Callithrix jacchus: one gene and its partners. The main gene of each other region encodes a partner of the protein of the gene in region 3 in a complex. Links are inferred from orthologs where the notes say so. Each region holds a gene or a part of one and is shown on either strand. Other genes may lie near its edges.

Evidence for each region.
Region 1: the proteins of UBE2E1 (region 3) and SETDB1 are in contact, whole or in part, in a crystal structure (PDB 8IYA), measured with the Homo sapiens proteins. The link is inferred for Callithrix jacchus from reciprocal best matches to the Homo sapiens genes UBE2E1 and SETDB1. Residues at the interface, in NP_003332.1 of Homo sapiens: Asn125, Ser126, Gln127, Val129, Cys131, Leu132, Lys136, Asp163, Pro164, Leu165, Val166, Gly167, Ser168; in NP_001138887.1 of Homo sapiens: Glu868, Gly869, Tyr870, Glu871, Ser872.
Region 2: the proteins of UBE2E1 (region 3) and TRIM21 are in contact, whole or in part, in a crystal structure (PDB 6FGA), measured with the Homo sapiens proteins. The link is inferred for Callithrix jacchus from reciprocal best matches to the Homo sapiens genes UBE2E1 and TRIM21. Residues at the interface, in NP_003332.1 of Homo sapiens: Lys43, Lys50, Arg51, Lys54, Pro107, Phe108, Asn138, Trp139, Ser140, Pro141, Ala142, Thr144; in NP_003132.2 of Homo sapiens: Pro17, Ile18, Cys19, Leu20, Asp21, Glu38, Cys39, Gln42, Val43, Pro52, Arg55.

Annotation. Positions count from the first base shown.
Region 1 is NC_133519.1:10,820,537-10,828,138, reverse strand, and holds the start of SETDB1 (histone-lysine N-methyltransferase SETDB1), read right to left. Parts: upstream 4,257-7,602; 5' UTR 4,029-4,256; coding exon 3,998-4,028; intron 2,875-3,997; coding exon 2,604-2,874; intron 543-2,603; coding exon 391-542; intron 1-390. UniProt on the Homo sapiens protein: Histone methyltransferase that specifically trimethylates 'Lys-9' of histone H3. H3 'Lys-9' trimethylation represents a specific tag for epigenetic transcriptional repression by recruiting HP1 (CBX1, CBX3 and/or CBX5) proteins to methylated histones.
Region 2 is NC_133511.1:69,714,634-69,722,140, forward strand, and holds the start of TRIM21 (E3 ubiquitin-protein ligase TRIM21), read right to left. Parts: upstream 4,843-7,507; 5' UTR 4,773-4,842; intron 2,465-4,772; 5' UTR 2,388-2,464; intron 1,478-2,387; 5' UTR 1,428-1,477; coding exon 1,020-1,427; intron 742-1,019; coding exon 646-741; intron 1-645. UniProt on the Homo sapiens protein: E3 ubiquitin-protein ligase whose activity is dependent on E2 enzymes, UBE2D1, UBE2D2, UBE2E1 and UBE2E2.
Region 3 is NC_133518.1:62,150,984-62,158,864, reverse strand, and holds the start of UBE2E1 (ubiquitin-conjugating enzyme E2 E1), read right to left. Parts: upstream 4,860-7,881; 5' UTR 4,753-4,859; intron 3,595-4,752; 5' UTR 3,562-3,594; coding exon 3,410-3,561; intron 1-3,409. UniProt on the Homo sapiens protein: Accepts ubiquitin from the E1 complex and catalyzes its covalent attachment to other proteins. Catalyzes the covalent attachment of ISG15 to other proteins. Mediates the selective degradation of short-lived and abnormal proteins.

The DNA of each region.
Region 1 (7,602 bases), on a different chromosome or scaffold from region 3:
TCGGCCAGGTGCAGTGCGGCTCACGCAATCGACACAAAGCTTCTAGAGCTATGTGAGTTTAATGAGGTTGCAGGCTGCAAGATCAACACACAAAAACCAACTGTGTTTTTTTATATCCTAGCAATAAAACATACACTTACCTGGCAATTCCGCTCTTTGATGGAATACTCCAGGGGTTACACAGAATGAGGAAAGCAAAGTAATGCAATCAGGGTGTAGCACATAGGGAACATCTATGATACTAACAATGTTGCATTTTTTTCCTCTAATAGCCAACTTGGGCAATTTGAAATATGAGGTTTCTCCTCTCTTCTACTATCTTCTATTTGCTCATATTCCAGTGTTTTAACTTCAATTCTGAGACTTTCCTATCAAAAGTTCATCCCTTACCTGAATCAATACTGAGGACATCATCGTCTTCATCAGGAATCTCAATTATTTCTGTAGGCCGGGAAGATTCATCCTCAGAGCTACTGTCCCGGTATTGTAGTCCCAGCTTGGAGTAGAAGTCCTTCACCAAAGACTCACAATTAGTCACTGCCCTAATATTGGAACACATGTAGAAAAGGTCAAAGCCAGTAGAGGGAGTACAGGTATAGAATCCACCATAATTCAAATATCTTTAAGTACAGACTGTCCTCAATTTAAATGGCCACATTCCAAAGTGTCTCTGTTTAGAATTTAGAATGCTTTTCCTATAGAAAAATGTTTTCTTTTTTGAGATGGAGTTTCACTCTTATCGCTCAGACTGGAGTGCAATGGTGAGATCCTGGCTCACGGCAACCTGCACCTCTTGTGTTCAAGTGATTCTCCTGCCTCAGCCTCGTGAGTAGCTGGGATTACAGGTGCCTGCCACCACACCCAGCTGATTTTCATATTTTTAGTAGAGGCAGGTTTCACCATGTTGGCCAGGCTGGTCTCAAACTCCTGACCTCAGGTGAGCCACTCACCTCGGCCTCCCAAAGTGCTGGAATTACAGGTATAAGTCACCGCACCTGGCTGAAAAATGTTTTAAATAGTGGTTTCGTTTCCAGACTAGTTCCTCAAAAACCCAAAATAAGCTCAAAGTACAGTACTTTCCACCTTACCTCATTATTTATCTTGTTACCTGAAAATGTATCCTGGCTGGGAGTGGTGGCTCACACCTGTAATCCCAGCAATTTGGGAGGCAGAGGCAGGTCAATCACTTGATGTCAGGAATTTGAGACTAGCCTGGCCAACATGGTGAAATCCCATCTCTACTAAAAATACAAAAATAAGATGGATGTGCTTGCTTGAACCCAGGTGGCGGAGATTCCAGTGAGCCAAGATGGCACTACTGCACTCCAGCCTGGGCAACAGAGCAAGACTCTGTCTTTAAAAAAAAAAAAAAGAAAAGAAAAAAGAAAATGGGGCAGGTGCAGTGGCTCATGCCTGTAATCCCAGTACTTTGGGAGGCTGAGGGGGGCGGATCATGAGGTCAGGAGATTGAGACCATCCTGGCCAACTCAGTGAAACAGTGTCTACTAAAATACAAAAAAAAAAAAATTAGCCAGGTGGTGTATACCTGCAGTCCCAGCTCTTTGGGAGGCTGAGGCAGGGGAATCGCTTGAACCTGGAAGGCAGAGGAGACTGCACCACCACACTCCAGCCTGGTGACAGAGTGAGACTCCAACTCAAAAAAACAAATAAAATAAAAAATATAGGTCAAGTGCAGTGGCTCGAGCCTGTAAGCCCAGGACTTTGGGAGGCCGAGGTGGGCGGATCACCTGAGGTCAGGAGTTCAAGACCAGTCTGGCCAACATGGTGAAACCCTATCTCTACAAAAAATACAAAAATTAGCTGGGTGTGGTGGGACACACGTGTAGTCCCAGCTACTCAGTAGGCTGAGACAGGAGAACTGCTTGAAACTGGGAGGCAGAGGCTGCAGTGAGCCAAGAACATGCCACTGCACTCCAGCCTGGGCGAGACAGAGCGAGATTCCGTCTCAAAAACAAAAAAGGTATTCTAAATGACAACTAGATCACCAAAAATAACTTTTAGGAGTATAGGAACTTAATAATGCTTCAAAGTTACATAAGACAGAAATTCTTTATAAACCTCACTCCCTGAACAAGCAATTGTTTCTAAGATAGAACACAGGAGGAAGAAGGGGAAGGGACTTAAGACTTGGACTCCCTTACTGCTGATCATGTATCAGCTGCTGACAGATAAAAGTTCTATAAATGGCTGATTGTGAGGTCAGATTTTTGACCATAAACTTTGAGGAAGAGTAAAGTTCTAAACATCTGTACTTCATAAAGTATAAAATTCTTGGTACACAGCCTGGTCAACATGGTAAAATCCTGTCTTTACTAAAAATACAAAAAATTAGCCAGGCATTGTGGTAGGTGCCTGGAGGCTGAGGCAGGAGAATCATTTGAACCTGAAAGATGGAGGTTGCAGTGAGCTGGGATCACTCCACTGCACTCTAGCCTGGGTGACAGAGTGAGACTCTGTCTCAAAAAAAAAAAAAATTAAATTAAAAAATTAAAATAAATGCTTAGTATAATGTCATGAACAATTATGCCCTAAAGATATCTCCCAATGGAGAGATTTCCCTCTGTTGTCTATGTAGTTCTCACCTAGATGCATCATCAAAGAGCTGGTCAACATGAGCCACCTCAGATTCTTTCTGTATCACCCATGTCTCTAACTCTGCTAGCTGTTTCTTGCGCTGCTGTACACAATCCATCTTCTCCAGTTCCTCATCGATGAAATGCCGAAGTTCTTCCATAGAGATACCCAGTTCCTCAACCACTGCCTGTTGCAGCTCTTTGATCTCTTCAGACTCCACTGTAGCTGTTGCTGCATCCAAACCAATGCGCCCAGGAAGGGAAGACATGCTTTTGTCCTCTGCATGGAACAGAAAACAAATTAAACTGGAGTCCTTATAACCACAATCAATAGAGAACTGATTCCCTAATAAAGCATTTCTACCCTGCTGCCTGTTATTTATTCAAATGGTCCATGTTCTCCCTCTTCATTCCCCAGAATCTGATGCTGAGATTTCTTCTGCTATACAGTAGCAGGCCTGAATAACATTTAAAGTTTGAGAGGGCATGGAAAACATTCATTATGCAGTAGGGAGCTACTGAAAATAATGTTTTGGGCCAGCACAGTGACTTGTGCCTGTAATCTCAGCAGAGGGTCACCTGAGGGCAGGAATTCAAGACCTGCCTGGGCAACATGGCGAGACCCATCTTTACAAAAAAAATACAAAAATTAGCCAGGTGTGGTGGCATATGCCATTAGGCCCAGCTACTGAGGTGGGAGGACCACGTGAGCCCAGGAGAGGCTGCTATAGTGAGCTGTTTGTGCCATGCATTCCAGCCTGGGTGACCCTGTCTCAAAACAAAACTTCAAAAATAATTTTTTAGAAAACTGAAGAGAACCAATATAGAAGGTGGTATTTTTGTGGTCTATATGTGTTCCTTAACTAATGTGATAAATCTTTGCCATGTTATGCCTAATTTGAACAAAACCCCCCATCTGGGGACGGAGTTGATCTGTAACTCACTAATTCAATATTTTCTTTTTTTGAGACGGAGTTTTGCTCTTGTTACCCAGGCTGGAGTGCGATGGGGCAATGTTGGCTCATCGCAACCTCCACTTCCCGAATTCAAGCTATTCTCCTGCCTCTGCCTCCCGAGTAGCTGGAATTACAGGCATGTGCCACTACGCCCAGCTAATTTTTTGTATTTTTAGTAGAGACGGGGTTTCTCCAATTTGGTCAGGCTGGTCTCGAACTCCCAATCTAGGTCATCCGCCCACTTTGGCCTCCCAAAGTGCTGGAATTACGGGCGTGAGCCACCACGCCTGGCCTATTTTCTCTTTCATTAGTTGTTCCCCTTACATTACTTTGCTTTCATGTGGAAATTAACTTTTTAAAAAGTCTATGGTATTCAAGCACACAAAAGCTTGCAGCAAAAAGGTTTCTCCAGAGAAGTAAAGCAACCTGGGAATAAAATGTGGCTACCTAATATCCACAATCCAAATGCTTCACACATTTGTGTGAAATGCTTGTTTAATCAAACTGTTAAGGCAAATCTGATTTTCAGCGCCTCCATTTTCCTTTGCCCACACACCGGCCCACCCCAGTGCTACCCCTAGAATGCTAGGGGTGCGCCTCATCCATCCGCAAACCCAGTTCAGCCCCGCCCCCGCTCGCCTCAAGAGACGACTTCCTTCCCACCCTCGCCCGACCTCCTCCCACAGACAAAACATCCCAGATAAGCCTTTGGTCACCAAATAAATCAATTAACAGTATTCCCCACACCTCCCTGCTTCCAGTTGTAAGGGCTCTTTTTCACCAACCAGACCCCAGACTCACGACTCGGGGGTCTGCCTCGACGGAAAAGAGCGAAAGCGAAGGGATACGAGAGGAGGGGGAGGGGAGAAAGCGTGATGGAGGGAAGGGGAAGCAAAAGAGACGCCCGGAAGCAAACCTCTAATGCCGTTCCGGTCACCGCGACGGTAGCCTGACGGGGCCAAACCCAAAACCGCGGGGCGCCCCTCTGAGGCAATGCACACTAAGGTAACTACGCATGCGTTAAACACACGTGAGAAGCTACTGGCAGAGCAAAGTGGGCGTGGCCAAAAGTATGTTGCCGAGGCTCCGCCTCTCCTACCACCCTTGACTGGTGGCCACATTACTGCGTTCATTGCGTAAAGACTTGGGGTAACACTCATTGGTTTAGAGCTTTTTTCTCTCAGTTTTCCTTGAGTTTATTTTGTTATGTAAGTGATACAAATTGTAAAAGCTATCAAGATGTAGTAAGAAAAACGTGATAATGTTCTCTCTGGCCCCATCACTTACCACTCCACTCCTTTCAGGTAACACAGCTTAATTTTCTAGTTTCTGTGTGTAGATTTTTTTGTTTGTTTGTCTTCGTTTAGTATGTAGACATTACCTGACGCCAATAAAAAAGGTAAAACTTGTACTTTTAACATTTCAATAGTATGGTTAACCATATTCGTTTAGATTGTTTTCCGTTCTCAGCCCCTACAAATAGCGCAACAATAAAAATAAAAATCCTTTTGAGGTAGGACTTTTATTTCTGGAGAAAAGATTCCCCAGGCCGGGCGCCGTGGCTTATGCCTGTAATCCCAGCACTTTGGGAGGCTGAGGCGGGAGGATCGCTTGAGCTCAGGAGTTCTAGACCAGGCTGGGCAACACGGTGAAACCCCATCTCCACTCAAAATACAAGGGAAAAAAACAGCCAGGTGTGGTAGTTCGCACCTGTCTTCCCAGCAATTCCAAAGCTGAGGTGGAAGGATCGCCTGAGCCTCGGGAGCAGAGGCTGCAGTAAGAGGAGAACCTGCCACTTCACTCCAGCCTGGGTGATCGAGCGAGACTCCGTCTCAAAAACAAAACAAAAAGGAAGGATTTTCCAAAATGGAATTTAAGTAAAATAGTATCACTTTTTTCTTTTCTTTTCTTTTTTTTTTTTTGAGATGGAGTTTCACTCTTGTCACCTAATCTGGAGTGCAATGGCACAAACTCAGCTCACTGCATCCTCCGCCTTCTGGGTTCAAGCAATTCTGCTTCAGCCTCCGCAGTAGCTGAGATTACAGGCGCCCGCCACCACGTCTGGCTAGTTTTTTGTATTTTTAGTAGGGACGGGGTTTACACCATGTTGGCCAGGTTGGTCTGGAACTCCAAGATCTGAAGTGACTCACTCCCTCTCCCCTTGGCCTCCCAAAGTACTGGGATTACAGGCGTGAACAACTGTACCTGGCCCTTCCCCACTACCAGCTTTTTTTTTTTGAGACGGAGTTTCACTCTTGTTGCCCAGGCTAGAGTGCAATGGTGAGAGCTGGGCTCACCACAACCTCCACCTCCCTGTTCAAGCGATTCTTCTGCCTCAGCCTCCCCGGTAGCCCCAGGGATTACAGGCATGCGCCACCACGCCTGGCTAATTTTGTATTTTTAATGGAGTAGGTTTTCTCCATGTTGGTCAGGCTGGTCTCAAACTCCCAAACTTAGGTGATCCCTGCCCCCCTTGGCCACCCAAAGTGCTAAGATTACTGATGTGAGCCACCATGCCTGGCCCCTTTCCATTTTAATAGACTCTGCTGTCAAATTATCTTTCCAAAAGGTTGTAAGAATCATTACTCCTACTAGCAAATCTAAAAGTGTTTCCCCACATCGCCATTAGTACTAAGTATTAATTACTTAATTTTTTTTTTTTTGAGACGGAGTTTCGCTCTTGTTACCCAGACTGGAGTGCAATGGCGCAATCTTGGCTCACCACAACCTCCGCCTCCTGGGTTTAGGAAATTCTCCTGCCTCAGCCTCCTGAGTAGCTGGGACTACAGGCGCGCACCACCATGCCCAGCTAATTTTTGTATTTTTAGTAGAGACGGGTTTCACCATGTTGACCAGGATGGTCTTGATCTCTTGACCTTGTGATTCACCCGCCTCGGCCTCCCAAAGTGCTGGGATTATAGGCGTGAGTCACCGAGCCTGGCGTAATTACTTAATTTTAAAGAACTTGATATGTGTTAAAATAGTATCGGTATAGGGATAGACTAGGTTATGTTGTGGAAACAACTCCAAAATCTGAGTAGCTTAAAACAAAACAAAAGGTGTATTTCTTGCTCACACTACATAATCATCTCTGGCAGGCATGGTGGGGCTCTGCTTATGAGAGCTACTGGGGAACCCACACTGATGAGTAGTCATGCCAGAGGGAAAGAATGCTAGAGGGACTCACACCAGCAAAAAGACCCAAGACACTGATGTTTACAACTCATTGGCCTGAATGAATCACAAAATCCTACACAACCACAAGGGGGCCAGGAAGAGCAGTTATCTTACCTCTGGAAGGAGGGAGAACCTGGTGTATCTGATGAACCACCATTTCTGATTACCATAGTGTCTTATCATTGCTTTAATTTATTCAGCTGTCTTTACATTAACTTTACTAGTTATTGAATCTATGTTTCCTTTATTTATTTATTTATTTATTTAGAGACGGAGTTTTGCTCTTGTTGCCCAGGCTGGAGTGTAATGGCACAATCTTGGCTCACCGCAACCTCCGCCTCCTGGGTTCAAGCGATTTTCCTGCCTCAGCCTCCTGAGTAGCTGGGATTATAAGGCGTACACCACCATGCCTGGCTGATTTTTGTGTTTTTAGTGGAGATGGGGTTTCACCATATTGGTCAGGCTGGTCTCGAACTCCTTACCTCATGATCTGCCTGCCTCGGCCTCCCAAAGTGCTGGGATTATAGGCGTGAGCCACCACTCCCAGCCATGGTATCACCTTCTAACCTGAGCTAGAAATTTTAGACATACTACTCCCTAAACACACACACACACACATACACACACACACACACACACACACACACACACACACAATATTCATTGAATATTTGCTATATACCAGGAACTGTTCCAAGCACTTGACAGTTATTAACTCATTTAAACTTCACAATTCTCCTATGAGGTAAGAACTAATATTAAATAGTCCCCTTTTTATGGATGAGAAAACAGAGGCACATAAATTTTCCAAAGCCACACAGCTAAAAAGTGACAGAGCTAGGCAGTTTGGCCATACATTTGGTGGTCTTGAACCA
Region 2 (7,507 bases), on a different chromosome or scaffold from region 3:
CTTTCCTGTGTTTTGTCATCACAACCCGACTCACACCCTACCTCAATCCCAAATGTTCCTCTTCTGGGATCTATTGGGCTCCTTCCCGTCCCCTTTCATCCCTGACATGACCCACCTCTCCTAGGAAATCATCAGTGCAGAACAAAACACTGATTCTTCATTATATTTTGGACCAGAGATCTGGACGTTGTCAAGTAACCACCTGGTCTGACGGGTATTCCTACTTCGGGCCTTGATGGTTTTCTTAAGTTTATTCCTCATAGCCCTTGTCACTTCCTGAAACACTTAGCTAGCAGTTGGGTTTCTCTCTTAGGATATTTGTCTCAGACACCCAGGTGCTGATGCCATCACCCCTCTGCGACTGGACGCAGAGGAGCTCGAAACTTTAGGGTATAGCTAGATCCTCTCAGCACCGTCTTCCGGGATTCTTGATCCTCAGGCCTAATGGGGAGCTCTCTTTTGAACCTGCATCATTTTTATTCCCCTCTATCTGGAAACCTAGAGGGCAGATGGTTGCTGGAGAGTGAAACGGACCAACTCTCTCACTCCTTAGACAGGCACAGCTACAGTTAAGCCTGTGAGTCAAGGACCCTGGACCCTGCCCAGCCTTCTAGCCTAAGATCCCCATAAGTCTGTCATTCTTGCCTTCCAGTCCGCTCTCCTCATTGCAATGTTCACTTCTAACTTCTCGGCCAACTCCTGCTTTCTTCTCAATTCTCCTAATGCCACCTGGAGCTTCTCCTGCAGAGAAAGACAGCATATTAGTCTCTAGACAGACCAAGTAATAGGGTGTGGGTAATCTTTGAGCATTTTCTCATGCATATCTCTCACTCCTGGGGAATGAGAAGGTTGGGTTTAGCTTATAATTCTCCTCCTACATTAGACATGGAGAGAGGTAAATTCTTCCTTTCTCTAACTCCTCTGATACAGAGGTGTTCCCTTCCCATTACCCACTCTGAAAACAAAGCACTCATCAGGGCCCATCTTCTTTCCTCCTGTTTGTGTCACTAAGGCCTCACCTGGTACTCCTGTGCAGCCTCCTCAAGAGGGACCATGGGGTGGTCACGGTGTTTCCGTGATTGGGCACACACCCAGCAAAGGGCCTTCCCATCTTTCTCACAGAACAGGTGAAGTCTCTCTCCATGCACTGCACACCGTTCCCCCTGTGTGCCCTCTTTGGTATCCTGGCTGATTTCTCTAAGGTTGTCCACCATGTTGGCTAGCTGTCGGTTGGGGCGGAGATTCTTGAGCAGAAAGCGCTGCCGGCACACAGGACAGACACCACCCCCATTTCTCCCAACCTCAGAGATGCATTCCTGACAGAAGCTGTGGCCACATTCGATGCTCACAGGTTCCACGAAGGGGTCCAGGCAGATAGGGCACGTGACCTCCTCCCACATCATTGTCAAGCGTGCTGCTGAAGCCATAGCTGTGCCCTTCCTGTTAAGCAGTAGTGTGGAGACCTTTGTGGGGCTGCCTGGGAGAGAAGAAAGGGAATAGAGAACATGAGAAAGTCTGTGTAAGAAAAACAAAAAGTCAACATAATTCCTATCAAAATACCAATGGCATTCTTCACAAAAATAGGAAAAAAAATCCTAAAATTTACACAAAAGACCCAGAATAGTCAAAGCTATCCTGAGCAGACAGAACAAAACTGGAGGAATCACATTACCTGACTTCAAATTATACTATAGAGCCAAAGTAACCCAAACAGCATGGTACTGGCATAAAAACAGACACATAGACCAATAAAACAGAGTAAAAAACCCAGAAACAAATCCAGACATCCACAGTGAGCTCACTTTCAACAAAGGTGCCAAGAACAGACAGGATAGGACAGTCTCTTCAATAAATGCTGCTGGGAAAACTGGATATCCACATGCAGAAGAATGAAACTATACCCCTATCTCACCATATACAAAAATAAAATCAAAATGGATTAAAGACTTAAATCTAAGACCTCAAATTATGAAAGGACTACAAGAAAACATTGGAGAAACACTCCAGGACATTGGACTGGGCAAAGATTTCATTTAAATGTCCCACAAGCATAGGCAACCGAAGCAAAATTGGACAAATAGGATCACATCAAATTGAAAACCTGCTGCACAGCAAAGAAAATAATCCACAAAGTGAAGAGACAACCCACAGAATGGGAGTAAATATTTGCAAACTATCCATTTGACAAGGGATTAATAATCAGAATATGTAAGGAGCTCAAACAACTCTATAGGAAAAAAATGTAATAATCTGGTTCAAAAATGGACAAAAGATCTGAATAGACATTTCTCAAAAGACATACAAATGACAAACAGGCATATGAACAGTTGCTCAACATCACTGATTATCAGTAAAATGCAAATCAAAACTACAATGAGATATCTCACCTCAGTTAAAATGTCTTTTATCCAACAGGCTATAACAAATGCTGGTGAGGGTGTGGAGAAAAGGGAACCCTCATAAGCTGTTGGTGGAAATGTAAATTAGTACGATCACTACAGAGAACAGTTTGGAGGTTCTTCAAAAAACTGAAAATAGAGTTACCATATGATCCAGCAATCCCACTGCTAGGTATATACCCCTAAGAAAGGAAATCACTGTATCAAAGTGATATCTGCACACTCATGTTTATTGCAGTATGTTTCACAATAGCCAAGATTTGGTGGCAACCTAAGTGTCCATCAACAGATACATAGATAAATAAAATGTGGTACATATACAAAATGGAGTACTATTCAGCCATAAAATATGAGATCCTGTCATTTACAACAACATGAATGGAACTGGAGGTCACTACATTAAGTGGAATAAGCCAGGCACAGAAAGACAAACATTGTATGTTCTCATTTGTAGGCGCTAAAAATCAAAACAATTGAACTCATGGAGTTAGATAATAGAAAGATGGTTACCAGAGGCTGGGAAGAATAGTAGGGAGGATGTGTTGGGGGAAAAGTAGGATGGTTAATGGGTACAAAAATGGAGTGAATTAGATCTAGTATTTGATAGCATAACAGGTGGCGATAGTCAATAATTTAATTGTACATTTGAAAGAGTATAATTGCATAGTTTATCACAGATGATCAATGCTTAAGGTGCTAGATGCCCCATTTATCCTGATGTGGTTATTACACATTGTATACTTATATCAAAATATTCCATGTAGCCTATAAATATACCTACTATGTGCCCAGAAAAATTAAAACTAGAGAAAGAAAAACAAAATGATGCAAAGGAAAATAAAAAAATAAAAATGGTGGCTCTGTATACCTGTATCAAAATGTTCCATGTAGCCCATAAATATACCTACTACATGCCCAGAAAAATTAAAACTAAAAAAAGAAAAACAAAATGATGAAACGGAAAATAAAAAAATAAAAATGGTGGCTCACGCCTGTAATCCCAGCACTCTGGGAGGTCGAGGTGGGTGGATCACCTGAGGTCAGGAGTTTGAGACCAGCCTGACCAACATGGTGAAACTCTGTCTCTACTAAAAATACAAAAAATAGTTGGGAGTGGTAGTGGGTGCCTGTAATCCCAGCTACTCAGGAGGCTGAGGCAGGAGAATTGCTTGAACCTGGGAGGTGGAGGTTGCAGTGAGCTGAGTTGGTGCCACTGCACTCCAGCACAGGCAACAGAGGGAGACTCCATCTCCAAAAAAAAAAAAAAAAGGGCATAATATTAATGGAAAAATAATTAATGGCAAAAACAGTATTACTTTTGCATGGACCAAATAGTTTGTTTAATAAGTTTATTCTTCTGAATAACAAGAACTCCTCCACTGTTTGGCCCATTGATCCACTGGGACAGAAGGAGAAACTGAGTCCCTAAAGGAGGGAGTGAAAATTGGCAAGAACCTCATAAAGCTGACAGTTCTCTCATGTCCATTCCTGCTTAAACCCTCAGTGCCCATTCATCTTCTTTCTGGTACCAGCAGGCCTCCATGTTGCTGAGAAACTAGTCATAAAATAGCTACTTTTAACCATGTACCTTCCATGTGCCAGAGATACTACACATGCTTTGAATACATCTTCATTAATCATTCCAATATTGGCAAAAGTCAGGTGTATATGTATGTACATGAGCATGTATATGTGAATGTATTCACACAGAGCAACAGGAACTGTGGCCAGCACTCCCTGGGCTCTTCTTTCAGCTGCTCCAAACTTAGTTTAGTTCCTGACATCACTTCTTCTATGACAAAGAGTAATTTTGAAGGCCTATACATTTCTGGTTGAACATCCTAAGCAGCCTGCCCCTCACCTCTGGAGGACTTTTGGACCTGGGAGTCTCCAGGATTGCAGATCTCCCCCACGCTCCTGGCTAGGCAGTAGTGCTGGCTCTCTCAGCTGCACCCAGCTCTCATCCCAGCTCAGGTGCCAGCAATGGGGCAGCCAGGCCCCTTCTCTTTCTGGGTAACTCCATAGTCACGTCCACACCCCAGCCTCCTCCCAAGTAGGGGGCAGCCGGAACCCTTCCCCTTCTGGGTAACTCCGCAGTCACGTCCCACACCCCAGTCTCCTCCCAAGTGCCCGGAACCCTACCCCTTCTGGGTAACTCCGCAGCAGTCATGTCCATACCCCAGCCTCCTTCCAGGTTAGGAGACCAGCCTCGGAAGCACAGAGGGGCTTGGATTGAGGGATCCCCGGTGGGAGAAGGGGCAAATGGGACCGGCTCAAGGATGGAGACTGGTTGGAAGGGGCTCTGCAGCCCTGGGGCAGGGGAGAGGTCCACTAGGAGGGCAGGGGTTCCTTGATTTAGTGAGGTTCACTCACCTTTACAGGGGACTCAACGCGGGTAGCCAGCTCCCTATTTCACTTTCAGTTTCCGCTCAGAGGCAAGTCTGACGGGAAAGGGGAGGGAGGAGGAGCCGTGAGAGGAGAGAGGGAGGAGCCGTGGGAGGAGCGGAGCCTTGAAAGGGTGTGTGGAGAAATGCCGCTGAGAAGGAAGAGAGGTGGGAGGAGAGAAGTCAGAGTTGGGCTGGCGGGGGGCTTCAGAGGCTCTGGACAGCCAGGGGGCTTCTATGAGACTGGGAAGTAATGGAAGCCCAGTAGCCTGTGGTCCTGGGTGCGCACCCCCTCCCATGTCTTCATTATCTGATTTAGTAAAATATCTGCAAGATGGGGGAGTCCGGGCTGCTTTCTTTGACACTGGTTATCACCCCACACCTAGATGCTTTGCCCATGTCTGGAAGCTGCTTTTAAGGAGGGTTGGATGCAGAGAATAGTGGCTGGTGCTCTCCCTCACGTGCCGTCATCTGTTTCTTACTTCCAGAAGCTAATTCTTTTCATGTGACTGATGTGACTATTATTTTTTTAACATCTGCAGGTGAGTGATTTATTTCGCATGACCCCGAGGTAAGTATCCCACCAGTGAGTGGTGAGAAGGGAATTGACATCTGATAACCAACTATGTTCTTATCACCGAGCTAGGGACATTCTCAGGTTATATTAATTTTTAATCGTTAAATACACAGAATATAAAATTTACCCAAGTAATTTTGTTTTAAATTTTAAATTTTCTGTGTCTGTGGTAGATGTATGTATTTATGGGCTACATGAGATATTTTGATGCACAGGTATAGCATACGGTCTGTAATAATCACATCAGGGTAAGTGGGGGTATCCATCACCTCAAGAATTTATCACTTCTTTGTGTTACAAACAATCCAATTATATGTTTTTTAATTATTTTAAAATGTATGATAAATTGTCTGTAGTCACCCTGTTATGCTATAAAATACTAGATCTTATTCATTCTATCTCATGTATTTTGAACCCATTAATCACCCCCCTACACACTCCTGGCTACCCTTCCCAGCTTTTGGTAACCATCATTCTGCTATCTTCATGAGTTCAATTGTTCTAATTTTTAGCTCCACTTATTAGTGAGAATGTACAATTGGTTGTTTGCCTGTGTTTGGTTTATTTTATTTAACATAATGACCCCTATTTTTCATCCATGTTGTAGCAAATGAAAGGTTCTCCTTTTTATGGCTAATCAGTACTCCATTGTGTATGTGTACCACACTTTCCTTACCCATTTGTCTATTTTTTTTTTAATTTTTTATTGGATTATAGGTTTTGGGGTACATGAGCAGAGCATGCAAGACAGTTGCGTAGGTACACACATGGCAGTGTGCTTTGCTTTCCTTCTCCCCTTCACCCACATTTGGCATTTCTCCCCAGGCTATCCCTCCCCACCTCCCCCTCCCACTGACCCTCCCCTTTCCCCCCCAATAGACCCCAGTGTTTAGTACTCCCCTTTCTGTGTCCATGTGTTCTCATTTTTCATCACCCACCTATGAGTGAGAATATGCGGTGTTTCATTTTCTGTTCTTGTGTCAGTTTGCTGAGGATGATGTTTTCCAGATTCATCCATGTCCCTACAAATGACACAAACTCATCATTTCTGATTGCTGCATAATATTCCATGGTGTATATGTGCCACATTTTTCCAATCCAGTCTATTATCAATGGGCATTTGGGTTGGTTCCAGGTCTTTGCTATTGTAAACAGTGCTGCAATGAACATTCGTGTACATGTGTCCTTATAGTAGAACGATTTATAGTCTTTTGGATATATACCCAGTAATGGGATTGCTGGGTCAACCCATTTGTCTATTGATGGATGCTTAGATTGCTTCCAAATCTTGGCTATTGTGAATAGTGTTGCAATACACATGAGAGTGCAGATATCTCTTTGACATACTGATTTCCTTTCTCTTGGGTACATACTTAATAGTATTTTTTCTGGGTATATACCTAGAAGTATCCAGTAGGATTGCTAGTTAATATGGTAGCTCTATTTTTAGTTTTTGAGGAACCTTCAAACTGTTCTCCAATGTGATTGTACTAATTTCCATTCCCAACCACAGTGTATGAGGGTTCCCTTTTCTACATATCCTTGCCAGCATGTTATTGCCTTTCTTTTGGATAAAAGACATTTTAACTGAGGTTAGCTAATATCTCATTGTAGTTTCGATTTGCATTTCTCTGATGATCAGTGGTATTGAGCCCATTTTCATATATCCATTTGCCACTTGTATGTCGTCTTCTAAGAAATGTCTATTCCAATCTTTTGTCCATTTTTGATTTGAATTATTATTTTCCTATAGAGTTGTTTGAGCTCCTTATATATTCTGGTTATTAATCCCTTGTCAGATGGATAGTTTACAAATATTTACTCCAATTCTGTGGGTTGTGTCTCCATTTCATTGTTTCCTTTGTGGTGCAGAAGTTTTTTAACTTGATGTGATCACATTTGTGCAGTTTTGCTTTGGTTGCCTGTGCTTGGGGGGTATTTGAAAGAAATCTTTGCCCAGTCCAATGTCCTGGAAAGTTTCCCTAATACTTTCTTGTAGTCATTTCATCGTTTGAGGTCTTAGATTTGTCTTTAATCCATTTTGATTTTTGTAGAGATGGGGGTGTAGTTTTATTTTTCTGCATGTGGATATCCAGTTTTCTCAGCAGTATTTATTGAAGAGACTGTCCTTTTCTCATTGTGTGTTC
Region 3 (7,881 bases):
GTGACGAAGCCAACATGGCCGCTCCCCACGAGGCCCCTCGGGCCCGAGTGACCTGCCAGCCGTCGCGGGGTGCCCGTGCGGTCCAGGCCGCGGGTCGCTTCCTCGCGGTGGGCCGCCGCCGCCGGGCCACCCCGCCCCCACCCCGTGCGCGCCCCTGACGGCTCCCGTCGCGCCGGTGAACTTGCGGGGGGGGGGGGGGGGGAGAACAGGGTGCCCGCACGGGGGCTGCTCCGCGCCGCCCCAGCTCGCCACTCCCGGCGCCCAGAACTTCGGCCCAAAGCCACGCGCGAACGCGGAGCGCGAACGCCCCCGCCCGCCCCTCGGGCACTGCGGACCCCAGTGGCCGGCCGGCGACCGCACAGGTGCACCGGACCCTGCCTCCGCCTCGCACGCTCGCCGGGACTCTAGGCCCACCTCCCCGGACCTGCTTTTTCCAGGGCGACCTTTAACTTCCCAGGGTCTGCCCCTTCCTTCGTGGTCCGCTCTTCAGCACACACTGGGCACAGACCCGGGACCTGCAGTGTTCTCCCTCCGCACCAACCCTGGACTTCACAAAGGGCCCCATCCCCCACTCCTAGGCCGAAGCCACCAGGCAGTTCACACCAAGCCCTGGCCTTTGTCTTTCGCTCACCTAGGCACTTAGAGCATCAATTAATACGACAAAGTTTGGGGCCTCTAAGTTTCTTCCACCTTCTAAACGGTGCCTAATTTTATAACCTTTCCTCCTCCCATGATATAAAGCCCAATGGGGCTGTTACAACTTAAAAATCTCACCAAGGCAGCACCGTAGTTAAAAAATTTTAAACACACACACACAGCAATCTAATAAAGGATGCGTTTCCCTTTCCAAAGGTTTTCTGCGTAGGACAGGCTAACTATATGCGGTGAGGAATAGGTTTTCAGGGCGACGGCTGGGGGAGGTTCTACAAACCTTCCTACTGGAGGACATTTCCTGTCCCTACAAATCTGTCAACTTTAGAAAGGGGTTTGTTCACAGTCTCAATTGACACGTATTTATTTACTGCTACCAAAAATCGTTTCATTTCTGAGACATTCATACTCCTGCTGTTTGACTCATGACTACATTACACTAAAAGTTTGGAACATTGGTTTCCGGATTCTTTACCTGCGTCTTTTCGAATAACTATTTTAAGACCTACACACACAGGCAAAAACTTCCTCACCGGAGCACAATGCATATAAAAATACATACTGACTTCAGACCTCCTTGCCCACCCAACTCCCACTATAAAATATCCACTAAAGAGGCAGTTAATACCTAAGAAGTGTTCATACCAAAAAGCTTTATCAACTTCATCTTGACAGTCAGCATGTGCATTTCCAAAACCTGGCAAGAGATCTGCAGGAGGAACTCATACCTACATCCAGAGAGTCAGTCATTCTTGTTCAGGCCACTTTCAATGGGGGCTTTCCCCTACCCACGGTTTAGAAACCACTTTCCAGCATGCAGTTAGGCTGTGAGTCTGCCAATTCAGGCTTCTTTTTCACTCCTTCTCCTGGTAAATGTGCCCCTTCCAATTTTATGGGCAACACCTACCTTCCAAATCAATATATTTCACGGAACAGGTTCTATAGGATCCCACTAACATCAATTTTCCCCTTTCTCTTTCCTGGATACACTGTCCCTCTCAGGTTTTTTTTACCTTTTGCTATCAACCTTAGGTCTGCTTTAACACTGATGGCTACTACTCTTCAGCAAGGTATCAGGGAGCTAAATTCGCTGCAAAAACAAAACAAAACGAAAGCCTTGATGTTCATTTACATGTAAAATTACTATTTGTAGCCTCCCACCTTTCATTTTTTAAAATCTACCATCTCTTTCCCAGCACTTTCAAACAAATTTTTAACTTGTTTAAAATAAATGGACAAAGTATGTCTAGTGAAAAAAACAATTCACTCATAACAAAAGCAGAATATTTTCTATTTGATACCTGTGTCTTTACCCCCAAATATATATTCATGTACACCAGGGATATCTAGCAAAATATAAAGATGCAAATTGCCCAAAGCAAGTATCCTGGCGTGAGCACATGAGGCCAAAAGCTAAATGAGGATCAGGGAGCCTAGAGGCTTGAGGTGGAGGGCAGTGCTGCGAAAAGGCCCATCCCAAGTGGGCAGGGTGGATGCCAGGTTCCAGGAGAACCAAACAGGGCTAATCAGTGAGGGTCAGTTAGGCCTCCTGGGAAGATTTACGATCAAACCAAACCTATAAAAATGAGAACAATCTTGCAGAGGCACCTAAGACCTCCACACTATTTTTTAAAAGTCACTCCATCAGCCCATGGTTAGGTCACCAAAACACTGCCAAATTTTCAAATTACAAGTCAGGCAGAATGACAGAACAAACCCTCAAACCCTGACTTCCTGGCTCACTACTCAGTGGACAGATCTAAAGTCTCATGTTCCACTTTACATTAAAAATTTTTAAGGGTTTCTCTACCTAACCCACCATTCGGACTCCCTACTATGTTCCCGTTTTGCCACCTTTTTAACTGTCTAACTCTGAGAGCAGAAGGATTTCTAAAAAGGTGTCTCGGAGTTCCTAGGAATCTACTAAAGATTATTTTAAGTGTCATGGGGATCAGAGGATATTACTGAAGAATGGCAGGTGTAAAAAGTAGCTACCTCCAAGAGCTGTAAGAGGAAAAGAATAAAGAAAAAGAGACACAGCTTAAATTGGAAAAAAATAAGGCAAAGTAGCATTTTTACAGCATGAGGACAGCAAATAGCATGAAAAAAAAGTCTCCCTGAAATTTGGTAAACTGAAGTTCTCAAAGAGAATCACAAAAATAACCTACAATAACCATTTTACATCACTTACTGATTCATTCGTCTCAACTCTCAGAAAAATCTCTTTAAATTCCATCAGAGAATATCTGTCTTCACCTACGAAATTTTGTACCTGCTCATATGAGTTTCTTATTCCTTTTACAATTTGTGGAGAAAGCTCTATTCCAAAAAGATCATCCATGCAACAGGTGAAAAGAAGGTAAAATGGTCATAGAATCCATTTCGATGCAGTTGTCTGAGCAGGTTATTAGTAATTAAGAAACAGGATGATGGCCTTGGGGAAGGTCACAGATTAACCATTAAGTGGGACAAGGAATCTGAAATCAGATTTGGGGCTCGCTAATAAAAGTAGATGAGGATTGTTACAAACTTCGGCGAGAAAAGCGAGAGCCAAGCCGCAACAGCTGCATGTGGGCAATGATTTTAAAAAACAGAAGCAGCAATAGAGAAAATAATTAGGGTTTCCAAGGCCCTTCTTTCATTTTTAAGAACACACAAACCGTGAGGAGCGTTTAAGCTATCCTCGTTGGGAGGCAGACCAAATGCAGCAAGAGGCAGTTCGGAAAATAGGAAGCCTGTGGAAAAAAGAGTACGGTACCTCTTGGCGCTGGTGGAGAGGAGTTTGGAGTTTTTGCTCATGCTGACTTTACTCTCCTTCTTCTTGGGGGTGTTTGTTTCTTTCTCGGTTTGCTGGTTGGAAGATGAAGATGAGGAGGAGCTGGTGCTGGCCCTCGAATCGTCATCCGACATATCGAACCCCCCACCCCACCCCGCAAACAGCCCCTGCAGGGGGAGGGAAACAAAACAGAAACACACAAACCATGCAGCCAGTGTAAATAAGGAACTCGGGTGCTGTCAGGAGGGCATTGACCAGGGGCGCACGCGGCCGCCCACCGCCCTCCACTCGCTTTTCAAAGTCTGCAGGCCCATTAAGGCTTTTGCAAATCGGACGCGGCTTGTTTGTTTATTTTTGGCCCCAAGTAGGGAACGCGGTGGGAAAACGGTCTGGAGCTCGGAGAGCAGCCCCTCCCTCACCCCCCGGGGCTCTCCGCAGGGCAGGGAGGGAGTAACCAGGAGGCGAAGAAGGGCAGGGTGGGGGCGCGGGGCGCCGCAGCGGGGCAGGGAGGGAAGGTCCCGGCGGCCGGCCGGCCTCGGGGCTGTTTTTGTACGCTTTCCGGGGGTCGTGGGGGACCGGTGGCCCGGGTGAGACTGTGGGGCCACGAACGGAGTTTGGCGAGGTCGGGAAGAGAGGAGGGGCGGGAAGGAGTAAGAGAGGAAGCCGAAACAGGGGGACGGAGGCGGGGAACGGGTGCCCGGGTGGGGGAAGGGAGAGGCCGGCGGGGGGCAGGGGCGACGAGGCCCGAGCCCCCCCCCCCCCGCGCCGCGCCCCGACGCCCCTCCCGGGCGGCCTGCCTCTGGGCCGCCCGGCTCAGGGCTGCGCAGCCGGGCGGGGGTCCGGAGCACACGCCCGTTCGCCACTCGTGGAGGGGGATAGGGGCTGCGGCGTGGGGTGGGGGGGGCTCGGCCTCCGCAGCGAAGAAATAACAATGAGCCCTTCCGCCCCGGAGGGGTAAATCCCCAGGAGCCCGCGCCCCTGGGGAAAACAGGGCTCCCCCAACTCCCCCCCACCCCCGCTCCCGGCCCCCTCGGCGGCCAGTGGGGGGGCTCCTGGGGCAGCGCTGACAGTTCGAGCCACAATGACCCCCAGCCCCGACGCGGGCGGCCCCGCAACCCACGCGGCCCGGGGTCCCTGCCCATCCCCCGCGGGCGGGCCCGGGACCCCTGGGGCTCCCCAGCCCCTCTCCGCCACCACCCCTCCCCCGGCCCCGTGTCCGGCGCCCCGGCGGCCGGGGCGGTGCGGGTCGGGGACGGCGGCGAGGGGTGTCCCCGAGGCCGGCGGCGCGGCCGGGGGGCGGCGGGCCGCTGGGGGGATCCCCGTACCTCTCTTTGTGTCTGGCTCCTCCGTGCCGCCGCGGCGGCTGCTGCTGCGGCTGCGGCTGGGCCTGGCCACTCGTGTCTCTCTCTCGCTGGGAGAGAAGCGGAAGTGCAGCAACAGCAACTATTAAACAGGCAATGGCTTCCCCCAGCCACACACGCTCGCACACACACCACTCCTCCGCCGCCGCCGCCTCCTCCTCCTCCTCGCCCTCACCCCTCCCCCACCCGGCCCGGTCCCACCCACCCGCGCTCCTCTCCCCCTGCAACACCTCCTGAGGGTGCGCGAGAAAGACTCAGGAGACCCCAGAAAACCCTGCTCCCCCCGCACCCCCACCCCTGCGTCTCCTCCGGACGCCCGGGAAGGGGGCGAGGGGTGTGAATTTCCTCTTAAGTGGTTTGGGAACCTGGATTCTAGGCGGGAGAGGGGAAGCCGACGGAGGTGGGAGGCTCTGGGAGCGTTTGGAACTAGATGGAATAGGGGGGTCAAGAGAGAAAGTTCTTTCCAGTGAGGGCTTTTGGAAAGGAGAAGGGTAGGGAGGTGGCAAATTGGTGAAAAAGATGGTAATCTGGTGGCAAGCAAGGACTTTGGTCTAGAGAATGCAGCGGGAACTCCACCTAAAAAGCGATCAGTTTAAAGAGAAAAAAAAAAGCACACAACAGGGGTTTTCTTTGGGCTGACACTTGCTTCTTCTAGCAATTTACCTGCTAGGAGTAGAGGTCAGTTTAGGCACGCCTGTGAGAAAATCCCAAACCAGGAGTTTTCTGCTCAGGTCACGCGAGGCACGTGCAGTTTTACAATATTAAATTCTTCCAGTCACTTTTTATACAAAGTGATGTGGTTTTATAAGAGTAATACAAAGGTTTTGGTGACACATGAAACCAACGTGCAACGGGCTTGCAAATGTGAGAAATCACTGGGAATAAGCTATATACTACTGAATTAGACTGGATTTAGAATTTTGGGTGTCATTTTACATTATATATAAGGTTTGGTTTTTGGAAATTGGATGGAAAGTTCTGGGATCGCAGTGCTTTCTTTAGCTACATATAAATACTATTCAGATAATAGTTTTGAAATAATCAGCAATTCTTCTGAATTGTTCCTTATGTAGCATTTTTGTCCAATTAATTTTTTTTAATATTAGGCCATCAAATTACGATTTAGTTTCTCACCTATTTGTCATTTCAGTTGAAGGGAACTAAAGAGATATGTGCCATACAACAGTGCCACATATACAAGGTCTTGTACGTTAAGGACACAGCCTCAGATTTCCACAGGTCACTCTAAATTATCTCATTCAAACTGCCATCATTTTCCACCGCAACAGTGGCTTCAGTTACCACAGGACAACCCAAGATATAAAGCCCATGGCATATCCAGTAACCAGGAAAACAAGCATCCCACGACCCAGCCGAACTCCTAACCATCAACCTGAAACTCCAGCTTTATCAAGACTCATAATGTAATTGTGCATGCTTCTTGCTCAATCCCTACCAGGAAACCTGTCTCTACCAGGAGTTGTCATAGAAGTTCAAAAGTTGGAAGAAATCTTCTGGGTCATAATTTCAGCCTCCTGATTCCAGACAACTATTTCTCCACCATTGAAATGCATATAGATTTTGAAAAATTCTCCAGACATAACCTTTCTTAAGTGTTTGGTTTCAGGAGTCCCTGGTAGAGTATATAAAAATGATGACATTCTCTGACGTATATTTGAAAATTTTTTTTAAACTTCTGAAAACCAGGTTGTATTCTTTTTGTTCTGATGAAAAGATGTGAATTCAGGAGAAAACAATAAGCAGATGAAATAAAATCAGAATGAGGAAAATAGTCTAAAAATAGTTATTAAAATTGAAGTGTCCTCTTATGAAAATTATGGATTTCTGATACTTAAAAATATATGTCTACATTATAAATACAATCAGTAAAAAAAAAATCATGTGTATAAAGATGAGAACTAGCAGAGATCACAGGAAAATAAAAGGTTTGATTTGCTGGAGTGATCAGGACAGTAGACGAATTTTTTCTTTAATATTGGTTTGCATAAATTGAACACTAGCTATAATAATAATTCTTTTAAAATAGAACTTGATATTTTGTGTTGTGTTACTGACGAAAGAAATCATGAAATCTAACAGGTCCTGCTATAAGGAAAAGTAATTTCCCAACCACCTGTCTAGAAGGCTTCTTGCCCTCTTTTGTGTACCTTTCCCTCTAATCTCTAATATCCACTAGCTTGGGGTAATGTGTTATGGTTTTGGCATGACCTAATTAGAGGGAATAAAAACTTCAAAATGTTTAGAAAAGAATCCAGTACTCTCAAGACTAATCTTTATGCCAAATTATTTTTAAAGCCTGTATATAGCATCTTAGGAAAAAGAATTCATATACAACTTTCTAGCTCTCCTTTTTATTAACTATAAGGCCTAAAGAGCTAAATTAACCTCCCCGAGCGTCAGTTTCCTCATCTATAAAGAGCAGGAATACCTGTGCTCTACTGACTGGCGAGGTCAAATGAGTATATGTAATTAAGGTGATTTATCAACTGTTACGCAAAGTAAGTTATTAATAATTCCACTCTGGTCTTATTTCTTAGGAATTTTCTTAGGACATGCATGGGTTTGGGGACTTTTTGATGCTTTTACTTTTTGTTTTTTTGTCACCAGGGCAGAAAAGAGGATATGGGGTTTTTATGATTTAGAATTGATGAAAATATAAGAAACCTTCCAAGAGAAACATACAGTCAAGGAATCATAGGATTTTATGCCTAGAAGGAGCTTAAGATATCTTTTAGTTCACACTTTTCATGTTGCAGATAAAGAAATGAAGGCAATTGAAAGCCGGTAAGTCGGTTGGGCTCAGTGCCTCTTGCCTGTAATCCCAGCACTTTGGGAGGCTGAAGTGGGCAGATCACAATGTCAGGAGATCAACAGCACCCTGGTTAACATGGTGAAACCCTGTCTCTACTAAAAATACAAAAATTAGCTGAGCATGGTGGCACATGGCTGTAATCCCAGCTACATGGGAGGATGAGGCAGAAGAAGCATTTGAACCAGGGAGTCAGAGGTTGCAGTGAGCCTAGAGCACGCCACTGCACTCCAGCCTGGAGACAGAGCGAGACTGTCTCAAAA